Linked DNA regions of Callithrix jacchus. The protein of the gene in region 2 purifies or fractionates together with the protein of the main gene of each other region. This does not show direct contact. Links are inferred from orthologs where the notes say so. Each region holds a gene or a part of one and is shown on either strand. Other genes may lie near its edges.

Region 1 (3,368 bases), on a different chromosome or scaffold from region 2:
GTGCTGGGATTACAGGCTTGAGCCACTGCACCCGGCCTGCTAATTTTTAAATTTTTAGTAGGGATAGAGTCTGGCTATGTTGACCAGGCTGGTCTCACAGTCCTGGGCTTAAGTGATCCTCCCACCTCAGCCTCCCAAAGTTCTGAGATCACAGGCGTGAGCCACCACACTGGCCTCATGGCATTTTGCAGAGGAGGACGTGGAAGTTGGAGGTGGCGTGTTCCCAAAGGTCACCTTGCTAGGTCTTGGTGGCAGGCGGGGAAAGCAGACAGGGGCCTGTGGGCCACCTTCCCGTGCTGACCTCTCTTGGGGGTAACTGTGTTTGCCTGTCCTGTTTCCTACAGATCTGCTTGGGGAGCTCCGGCAGAATCTGGAACAGTGAATGAGTAGAGGGAGCCGGGCGTGCAGAAGGCGGGCAGTGTGGAACATGCCTTCACCACCCCCAGCTTCTGCCGCCCGAGGCCGAACCCACCTGTGCCCATGGCCTGCAAGGGCCCGTCACTTCCCAGCGCCTTCGACATCCTGGGCACAGCGGGCGAGGAAAAGCTCTTGTATCTGAAGCACAAACTGAAGACTCTGCGCCCAGGCTGCCAGGGGCGGGACCTCCTGCACGCCATGGTGCTGCTGAAGCTGGGCCAGGAGACCGAGGCCAGGATCTCTCTAGAGGCACTGAAGGCTGATGCCGCGGCTCAGCTAGTAGCCCGCCAGTGGGCTGGTGTGGACAGCACTGAGGACCCAGAGGAGCCCCCGGACGTATCCTGGACTGTGGCCCGCTTGTACCACCTGCTGGCTGAGGAGAAGCTGTGCCCGGCTTCGCAGCGGGATGAGGCCTACCGGGAAGCCCTCCGGACTCTCAGCGCCAGGGACGACCACCGGCTGGGGGAGCTCCAGGATGAGGCCCGGGACCGGTGTGGGTGGGACGTGGCTGGGGATCCAGGGAGCATCCAGACACTCCAGTCCAATCTGGGCTGCCTCCCACAGTCCTCAGCTTCGCCCTCTGGGACCCGGAGCCTCCCTCGCCCCATCGATGGGGTTTCAGGCTGGAGCCAAGGGCGTTCCCTGAGGTCAACTGGCAGCCCCGCCTCCCTGACCAGCAACTTGGAAATCAGCCAGTCGCCCACGATGCCCCTCCTCAGCTTGCACCGCAGCCCCCAGGGGCCCAGCAAGCTCTGTGATGACCCTCAGGCCAGCAAGGTGCCCGAGCCTGTCCCTGGTGGCTGCCAGGAGCCTGAGGAGATGAGCTGGCCGCCCTCGGGGGAGATTGCCAGCCCCCCAGAGCTGCCAAGCAGCCCACCCCCTGGATTTTGCAAAGTGGCCCCAGATGCAACTTCGACTGGCCTCCTTGACACCCCTGAAGCTCCAGAAACCAGCACCCAGTTCCCGGTGGAGTGCACCGAGGGGTCTGCAGGCCCCCAGTCTCTCCCCTTGCCCATTTTGGAGCCCCCCCAAAACCCCTGCCCTGTCAAAGGACAGACATCACCCCAACTTTCTGTAGAAGACACCACCTCTCCAAATACCAAGCCAAGCCCATCTCCCACCACCCCAAAAACATCCCATCCTCCTCCTCCTCCTCCATCAGCCCCCTCTTCAGCTCACCTGGCCCCCTCCTCCCTGTTCCCTTCCTCCCTGGAATCATCATCAGAGCAGAAATTCTATAACTTTGTGATCCTCCATGCCAGGGCGGACGAGCACATTGCCCTGCGGGTCCGGGAGAAGCTGGAGGCCCTCGGTGTGCCTGACGGGGCCACCTTCTGTGAGGACTTCCAGGTGCCCGGGCGCGGGGAGCTCCGCTGCCTGCAGGATGCAATTGACCACTCTGCCTTCATCATCCTCCTTCTCACCTCCAACTTCGACTGCCACCTGAGCCTGCACCAGGTGAACCAAGCCCTGGTGAGCAACCTCATGCGACAGGGGCCGTCAGACTGTGTCATCCCCTTCCTGCCCCTGGAGAGCTCCCTGGCCGAGCTCAGCTCCGACACAGCCAGCCTGCTCTCTGGGTTGGTGCGGCTGGACGAACACTCTCGGATCTTTGACAAGAAGGTGGCCAACACCTTCACGTCCTACAGGCTTCAGGCCCGAAAGGCCATGTGGAGGAAGGAACAGGACACCCGAGCCCTGCGGGAACAGAGCCAACACCTGGACAGTGAGCGGGTGCAGGTGGCCGCCATGAACGCTGCATATTCGGCCTACCTCCGGAGCTATCTGTCCTGGCAGGCACAGATGGAGCAGCTCCAGGCGGCTTTTGGGAGCCACATGTCATTTGGGACTGGGGCACCCTTTGGGGCTCAAATGCCCTTTGGTGGCCAAGTGCCTCTGGGAGCCCCGCCACCCTTTCCCACTGGGCTGGGGTACCCGCAGCCTCCACCCCTGCACGGGTGGCAGGTTGGTACTCCCCTACCGCCCTTCCCACAACCCTCAGGCTTCCCTACAGCCTCACCTGCGCCCCCTCAGAGCCCGGGACTGCAACCCCTCATTATCCACCATGCGCAGATGGTACAGCTGGGGCTGAACAACCACATGTGGAACCAGAGAGGGTCCCAGGCACCCGAGGACAGTACACAGGAGGCAGAATGACTGCTGTGCTGACCAGCTGGGGAACACACCTGGACCCAGGCATCAGCTTTGGGCAGGACCTCATAGACCACCCCGATCTGTCCTGTCCTCTGGGGACAGTGGAAGATGAAGTTATCTGCCACTTTCAGGACATTGCCGGGAGCCCTTCATTTAGGACAAAACAGACGCTCTGGCCTTTAGGGTGGCCAGAACTGGACATGGTGTTTACAATTCCGATCTATTTCTGGGTGAGGGTTCTTGGTGGTGGAGGTATTGCTACCGTCTTTTAATTATAATAAATATTTATTGAACGTTTCTGCAGCGCCATTGTCTTCTGGGACACCCTCTGCCCGGCTATTTGTTACAAAACACGTGGCTCCCGCGCCTACAAAAGAGAACCGGAAGCAGGAAGTGCACGCCTCTTGGAGGGCATAAGCCGGAAGTTGTCCACATCTGCCCTCATCCCACTGGCCAGAACATAATCACATGGGCCTACTCCTGCCGCAAGGGACGCTGGGAAATGTAGTCCTTTCTGAGCAGCCATGTGCCTTGCCGAGTCTCGGTTCTAATACCCTGAAAAGTGGAAGGAGAAGTTATTGTTGGGGGTCGGGGGACGGTGCAGCCTTGGCAACATGGTGAGACCCCGGCTGTACAAATATACAACAATTAGCCGGCCTAGATGGTGCACACTTGTAGTCCCAGCTACGCAGGAGGCCCAGGTCAAGGATTGCTTGAGCCCAGGAAGTGAAGGCTGCAGTGAGCTATGAATGAAGGAATGAATGAATTGGAATGAATGTCACTGAATGAATGCCGCT
Region 2 (3,020 bases):
CTGTCTCCCAGGCTGGAGTGCAGTGGCACGATCTCAGCTCATTGCAACCTCCGCCTCCTGGGTTCAAGTGATTCTCCTGACTCAGCCTCCCAAGTAGCTGGGATTACAGGCTCCCGCCACCATGCCCGACGAATTTTTTTTAGAGACAGCGTTTCACCATGTTGGCCAGGCTGGTCTCAAACTCCTGACCTCAAGTGATCCACCTGCCTTGGCCTCCCAAAGTTCTGGGATTACAGGCGTGAGCTACCGCACCTGGCCAATGATACTCTTTATAGCAGGGCCTGCACCATTTTACATCCCCACCAGCAGTGTGTGAGGGCTCCATTCTTCCACGTCTTTGTCTATGTGTGTTAATTCTTTTTTTTTTTTTTTTTTTTTTTTGAGACGGAATTTCACTCTTGTTACCCAGGCTGGAGTGCAATGGCGCAATCTCGGCTCACCGCAACCTCCGCCTCCCGGGTTCAGGCAGTTCTCCTGCCTCAGCCTCCTGAGTAGCTGGGATTACAGGCACGCGCCACCATGCTGACCAGGATGGTCTCGATCTCTTGACCTCGTGATCCACCCACCTTGGCCTCCCAAAGTGCTGGGATTACAGGCTTGAGCCACCGTGCCCGGCCCTTTTTTTTTTTTTTTTTTGAATTGTAGACATCCTAATGGGTACGAGGTGGTTTAGTCACATTTTAAAGAAGAAAGTTTAAAGGATGGCATAGGATAGTTAACCCAATGTTTGGAGTAAAGCCAGGCTTTTTTGCAGTGCTATATTTTTTCTCTTGCTTTTGATCTAGAAGTACTTACCTGTGTGTTTCTCTCTATTCAGAGGAATCTATAAAATGTACCATACACAACAGTAGCGGTGTTCAGATTGGAGCCTACAATTATATGGAGGTTGGTGGGATGAGTTCATCACTATCAGACAGCATAAATATGAACTTTAAAGAAGAGCCAGCTTCTAAGTACCAAGATATCTTTGGTAAGATACCCTTGAAGGACCCAATGTCTATCAACCTTGAACTTTCTTGTGAGAAGGATGTAGTGGAATCTTGAAATTTCTCTGATAATTCTTCCTGAAAGTTTTCTCATGTTACTTCTGCAAAATAACTTTGTGATTTCTGTGTAATTTCTTTGTGATTTATTTATTTTTAATATGGAGATAATAACAGTATTTAATTCATGGCTTTGTTGTGAAAATTAAATGAGTTGATATGTATGAAAGCTTAGAACGCTCCCTGACACATAGTAGGGTCTATAAAAAGTGTTAAACTTTCATCATTATCATCAGTATTACTGCTCAGACCTGGAAGAAATAGCTGTGTCAGGCCCTCATCAAAGGAGATCCTGTAAAAGAGAGAAGACTGTGCCCTCCACAGCACTTCTGCAATAAAATCAAGAGGGCTGTCTCTTACAGGGTCCTACTGTGCAGGACCATAATGCTAATCTCGAGGTACAGTCTGGAAAAAGCAGTCATGAGGCCAAAACAACTTGATTAAGAACTCAGCTTTCTAATTAACAACAGGATTGTCTTTTTGTTCCTGTAAAGGAACCGATAGTAAATGTTAGGCATTGCTGGCTTTGAGGTCTCTCTTGGAACTACTCAACTCTGTTACCGTAGTACAAAAGCAACCATAGACAATACGTACATGAATGAACATTGCTGTGTCCCAATAAAACTTTATTTACAAATGGTGGCAAGGAGCCAGATTTGGCCCACAGGCTATAGTTGGCCAACCCCTGGTCTAACACATTTGAAGAACAGCTTTTAAAATACCTAGAACAGAGGTTCTTAACTTTTGATTAGCCAAGGACACCCTTGAGATTGTAATGAAACCTAGGATCTGTCCCATAAAGAAATACTGACAAAATTTGCCAAATATTTTGGGAAGTTTTTGGACTGCTGACAATCTAGCGGTGGCAACACAGGCCACATTATGGAGGGCTGAGGAAAGAAAGGAGGTTGAAAGGAAGAATGAGATGTTTTCTCCCTTACATTCTGTTTATTGAGGTAGAGTGGGGATTAGGGAATATGTTTGTTGTGGTTGTTTTACATTTTTATTTGTTTCCTTTTATTATTTTTATGAAGGGCTAAGAGAAGAACTAGTAGGAGAGAGGTTATGGCTATCGGAGAAGAGGCAATGGCAGTCGGGGGGTGGGGGGCAGGGAGAAGGGTTCAAAAACAGACCTTTCATCGTGTGAAAGACAAGGAAGGCATTGTAACTGAATGGGTTCACACCTGCTGGACAGTTTCCTTGATTAAGAGGAAAGTGAACTGTTGGGCAGGGGTGATGGTCAGGAGGTAAGTGGCTTTAACTCTGGCCAGATGTAAGTGAAAAATGTCCAAAAGGAACAAAAATGGTGGGTTTTTCCTTTACATCCAGGAAAGTCTAACACAAACAGGGTCACCGGCTAAGATTGAATAGAACACCCAGCCTTGTAGCCACATAGGGGTTTTGTTCACAGAGCCATCAGCTGTGGCTCAGAGATGTGTCTGCTAGGAGGAAGGAATGCCTTATTCTTTTGTTTTGCTTTTGAGACAGCATCCTGCTCTGTGGCCCAGGCTGGAGTACAGTGACACAGTCATGGCTCACTGCAGCCTTGAACACCTGGGCTCAAGTGATCCTCCTGTCTCAGCCTCCTAACTGAGACTACAGGCATGTGCCACCATGCCCAGTTAATTTTTTTTTTTTGTAGAGACAGGGTCTTGCTATGTTGCCAAAGCTGGTCTAGAACTCCTGGGTTCAAGTGATCCTCCTTCCTTAGCCTCCCAAAGTGTTGGGATTATAGACATGACCCACTACGCCAGGACAGGAATGCCCTATTCTAAGTCACACAAAGACTCCATGTGGGCTAGCAGGGATATAAAATGTCCACCAAGGTGTCAACAGCTATATAATTAAGACGTTATCTTTTTCACTGTCTCCTGCTACTCTTCACCTCACTTGGGGTTTTTTTTAGCAATTCAGGAAGCTGGAATGTTTGAATGGGTTTTATTTAGCTTGATACCTTCTTCTCTTTCCCATTTGGCA
Region 3 (3,482 bases), on a different chromosome or scaffold from region 2:
GGGCAACAGAGTGAGACTCTGTCTCAAAAAAATAAAAAAAATCACATGAGATTCGATATTTTCTTATATATGAATAAAATAGACTTTGTGCTAGATGACTGTGCCCAGCTGTAGGCTAATGGAAGTGTTAGGAGCACATTTACGATAGGCTAGGCTAAGTGATGATGTCAGTAGGTTGGGTACATTCAATGCTTTTTCAGCTTACAATATTTTCAGCTTACATTGGGTTTCCCAGGACATAGCCCCATCCTAAATTGAGGAACGTCTGTATACTGGACAGGGACTTCTCTGATGTCAGGGACCCCGTTTTCATTTTGTATCCCCTGACAAAATCCTAGCACGGATAATAACATCACCTACAACAAGTTTGTTCCAGGAAAGTGTTTCATAAAAATGACACTTTGTACTGGGCTTTTTAGTGGCCGCCAGAGCACTCTCACACCATTGTTAGTTAATCCTCACAATCACCTAGTGGGGCGGATGTTCTCCCCACTCCTGGAGGTGTGCACCCAGCAGTTATAGAGATCACAAGGGCACACACTTCCTAATGAGAAAGTTCCAGAAGGATTATCCTGAATACCTTGAAAGGCTCAGATTGCAAGCTTGGCTGGCAGGCACTTCCTTCACCTGTTGGGCTATTGACCACTAAATCTCCTGATTTGGGGCTCTGAGATTATGGCCCATGTCCCCCCGGCCGCCCCCAGTTCCTTACCAGGTTCTTACTCCCCCTGCCCCCGCCCCAGGAGATTGCCGCAATGATTGACACTGAGTTCGCCAAGCAGACCTCGCTCGACGCAGTAGCCCAGGCGGTGGTGGACCGGGTGAAGCGCATCCACAGCGACACCTTTGCCAGTGGTGGGGAACGTGCCAGGTTCTGCCCCCGGCACGAGGACATGACCCTGCTGGTGAGGAACTTTGGCTACCCACTGGGCGAAATGAGCCAGCCCACAACGAGCTCAGCCCCAGGTACGTGTGCTGTGCAGACAGGCAGTGCCTGGGGATGCCATCTGGGGACCAGAGGTGGGTGCAGAACAGCCAAGGCTGATTAAAACGGAGATGGAGTTAGGAGGCCTGGCTCTGAGTGGCTCTAACCCAGGTTCTCTTGACTTTCAGCCTCTCTGTGCTGTGTGTTGATTTTTGCTTTTTTGTCTGTAAAATGAGGATAATACCACCTGTCCTGGCAACCTCCCAGAACCTGAGTGCACCAGCCAGCAATTCACAGAGCTGTGAAGCCGCATAGTAGAGATGATGGCCACCACTGGTTGAGCGCCTCCGGTGTGCCAGGAGCACGACCTGCATTATTTCCTTCAGTCCTCATTGGCAACCCTAAAAACAGGTGGTACCCCTGTTTTCCAGAGGGAGAAACTGAGGCTAAGAATGACGGGACCTCAAAGAGATTAGGCATGTGGACAGATGGTCAGGCCCCAAAGCCTGTCTGTCCCAGGGCTGCACTGGAGCAGGGCAGGAAGAAGGACATTTTGCTTTTTGCTTTTGTAATTCTTTTTTTTTTTTTTTTCTGAGATAGAGTCTTGCTCTTGTTGCCCAGGCTGGTGTGCAATGGCACGATTGCAGCTTACTGCAACCTCTGCCTCCCTGGTTCAAGTGATTCTCTTGCCTCAGCCTCCCAAGTAGCTGGGATTACAGGTGCACACCACCATGCCCAGCTAATTTTTGTATTTTTAGTAAGAACGGGGTTTCACCATGTTGGCCAGGCTGGTCTCAAACTCCTGACCTCATGATCTGCCTGCCTCGGCCTCCCAAAATGCTGGGATTACAGGCATGAGCCACTGTGGCTGGCCCCTGCCTTTGTAATTCTTCAACCAAGTTCTGAGAAAAAGAGGTGGCTGCTCTCTGCTGGGCTCCCCGAGAGCTGCTCAGTGCTAAGACCTTCAGTTCCTGAGGGCTGCTTTGTTTTTTCTTTGTTTTAAACAAGCAAACCTTAGGTAAAGCTTAGGCATCCACAGACAGATTTGTTCTCCCATGGACACCAGGGTTATTAGAGTTCCTTTGGCCTGTTGTTATTGCAACCATATTTTTATTGGGTCAGGCTCAACTGGGAGCGAACTTATCCTCTGGATTAAAGCAGCCTTGGAAAGTTAGACAGTAACCCTTTCCTTGAGGCACCTCAAGCACAAGCAGGCTTTACTGCTATGAGTTCCCAGCCTGGCCTGGAAGAGTTTCTGCCAAAGGAAACTCCTCCTAAGCTGTCCCAAGGGGCAGGGTGCCTTGCTGGGCTTGGGGAGCCAGGTGTGGCTGCTGCCCACACTCAGCCCTCAGGCACCACCCCATCAGGCCATGGAGCAGCTCTACCCCCACTACCCTGGGTTCCTCCTCAGCCGCTGCCTGAGGCCCCCACTCTCTTCCTCCCAAAGCTGCAGGGGGACGAGTGTACCCTGTGTCTGTGCCATACTCCAGTGCCCAGAGCACCAGCAAGACCAGCGTGACCCTCTCCCTTGTCATGCCCTCCCAGGGCCAGATGGTCAACGGGGCTCACAGCGCTTCCACCCTGGATGAAGCCACCCCCACCCTCACCAAGTAAGTCCCTCCCCAATTTAGCCACCCCCAGTCCTGTCACCCCCATGTGTGTCCTGTGGCACTGGTACAGAAATGACCATGGGGCCAAGTCTTGTGGATGAGATGCCCTGAGGTCTCAAATTTCCCAGCTCCGTGCCTGGTGAGGTAGGTCTCCCTAGGAACTGAGGCAGAAGGAAGAGGCAGCTTTTGCTGGGCCAGCTGGGGTTTCGGGTCAGGTAGCTGATGGTGCCAGCCTACTTCTTAGATTTTCTTGTGAGCCCCATCTGCTGGTTTCATTCAGTGAAAGGTTCTCTCTCTTTTTTTTTTTTTTTTTTTTTTTGAGACGGTTTCACTTTTGTTGCCCAGGCCAGAGTATAATGGCAAGATCTTGGCTCACCGCAACCTCTGCTTCCCGGGTTCAAGCAATTCTCCCGCCTCAGTCTCCTGAGTAGTTGGGATTACAGGCATGCGCCACCAGGCCTGGCTAATTTTTCTTGTATTTTTAGTAGAGATGGGGCTTCTCCATGTTGGTCAGGCTGGTTTCGAACTCCCGACCTCAGGTGATCTGCCCACCTTGGCCTCCCAAAGTGCTGGGATTATAGACGTGAGCCACTGCACCCAGCCTTGAAGGTTCTCTTTCATTCTCCACCTGGGCATGATGTGGGGCAGCTTCCTGTGGTGTCCTTGCTTGGGGACATTGTCTGGCCTGTACTGGCTTGCAGATCCCATGCTTTCTGGCTGATGTGCCCGATTTTAGCTTTGAAGTAAGTTCTCTGGTTTTGAGGGCAGGGGGCGAGGTGGAGGCAGCAGCCTGAAGGTGTTGCCAACAGGCCCCCTCTAGCTGCAGACCTGTCTAACAGGTCTGGAGTATACCCCACCCCCTTCACTTCCGTGGAATGTGTACTCCCCACACCAGGGGACCCGGATCTGGTTTCCACATTCCAGCCCTGCATTGTATAATAGAGATG

Evidence for each region. Proteins that work in one complex are often made in the same cells at the same time.
Region 1: the proteins of RIPK1 (region 2) and TICAM1 purify together in Homo sapiens (affinity purification with western blotting; 4 studies listed by BioGRID). This does not show direct contact. The link is inferred for Callithrix jacchus from reciprocal best matches to the Homo sapiens genes RIPK1 and TICAM1.
Region 3: the proteins of RIPK1 (region 2) and TAB1 purify together in Homo sapiens (affinity purification with mass spectrometry; 3 studies listed by BioGRID and IntAct, with this or other methods). This does not show direct contact. The link is inferred for Callithrix jacchus from reciprocal best matches to the Homo sapiens genes RIPK1 and TAB1.

The regions. Positions count from the first base shown.
Region 1 is NC_133523.1:4,577,543-4,580,910, reverse strand, and holds the end of TICAM1 (TIR domain-containing adapter molecule 1), read left to right. Parts: intron 1-344; 5' UTR 345-480; coding exon 481-2,574; 3' UTR 2,575-2,868; downstream 2,869-3,368.
Region 2 is NC_133505.1:27,534,505-27,537,524, reverse strand, and holds part of RIPK1 (receptor-interacting serine/threonine-protein kinase 1), read left to right. Parts: intron 1-817; coding exon 818-970; intron 971-3,020. UniProt on the Homo sapiens protein: Serine-threonine kinase which is a key regulator of TNF-mediated apoptosis, necroptosis and inflammatory pathways.
Region 3 is NC_133502.1:210,223,156-210,226,637, forward strand, and holds part of TAB1 (TGF-beta-activated kinase 1 and MAP3K7-binding protein 1), read left to right. Parts: intron 1-743; coding exon 744-966; intron 967-2,372; coding exon 2,373-2,535; intron 2,536-3,482. UniProt on the Homo sapiens protein: Key adapter protein that plays an essential role in JNK and NF-kappa-B activation and proinflammatory cytokines production in response to stimulation with TLRs and cytokines.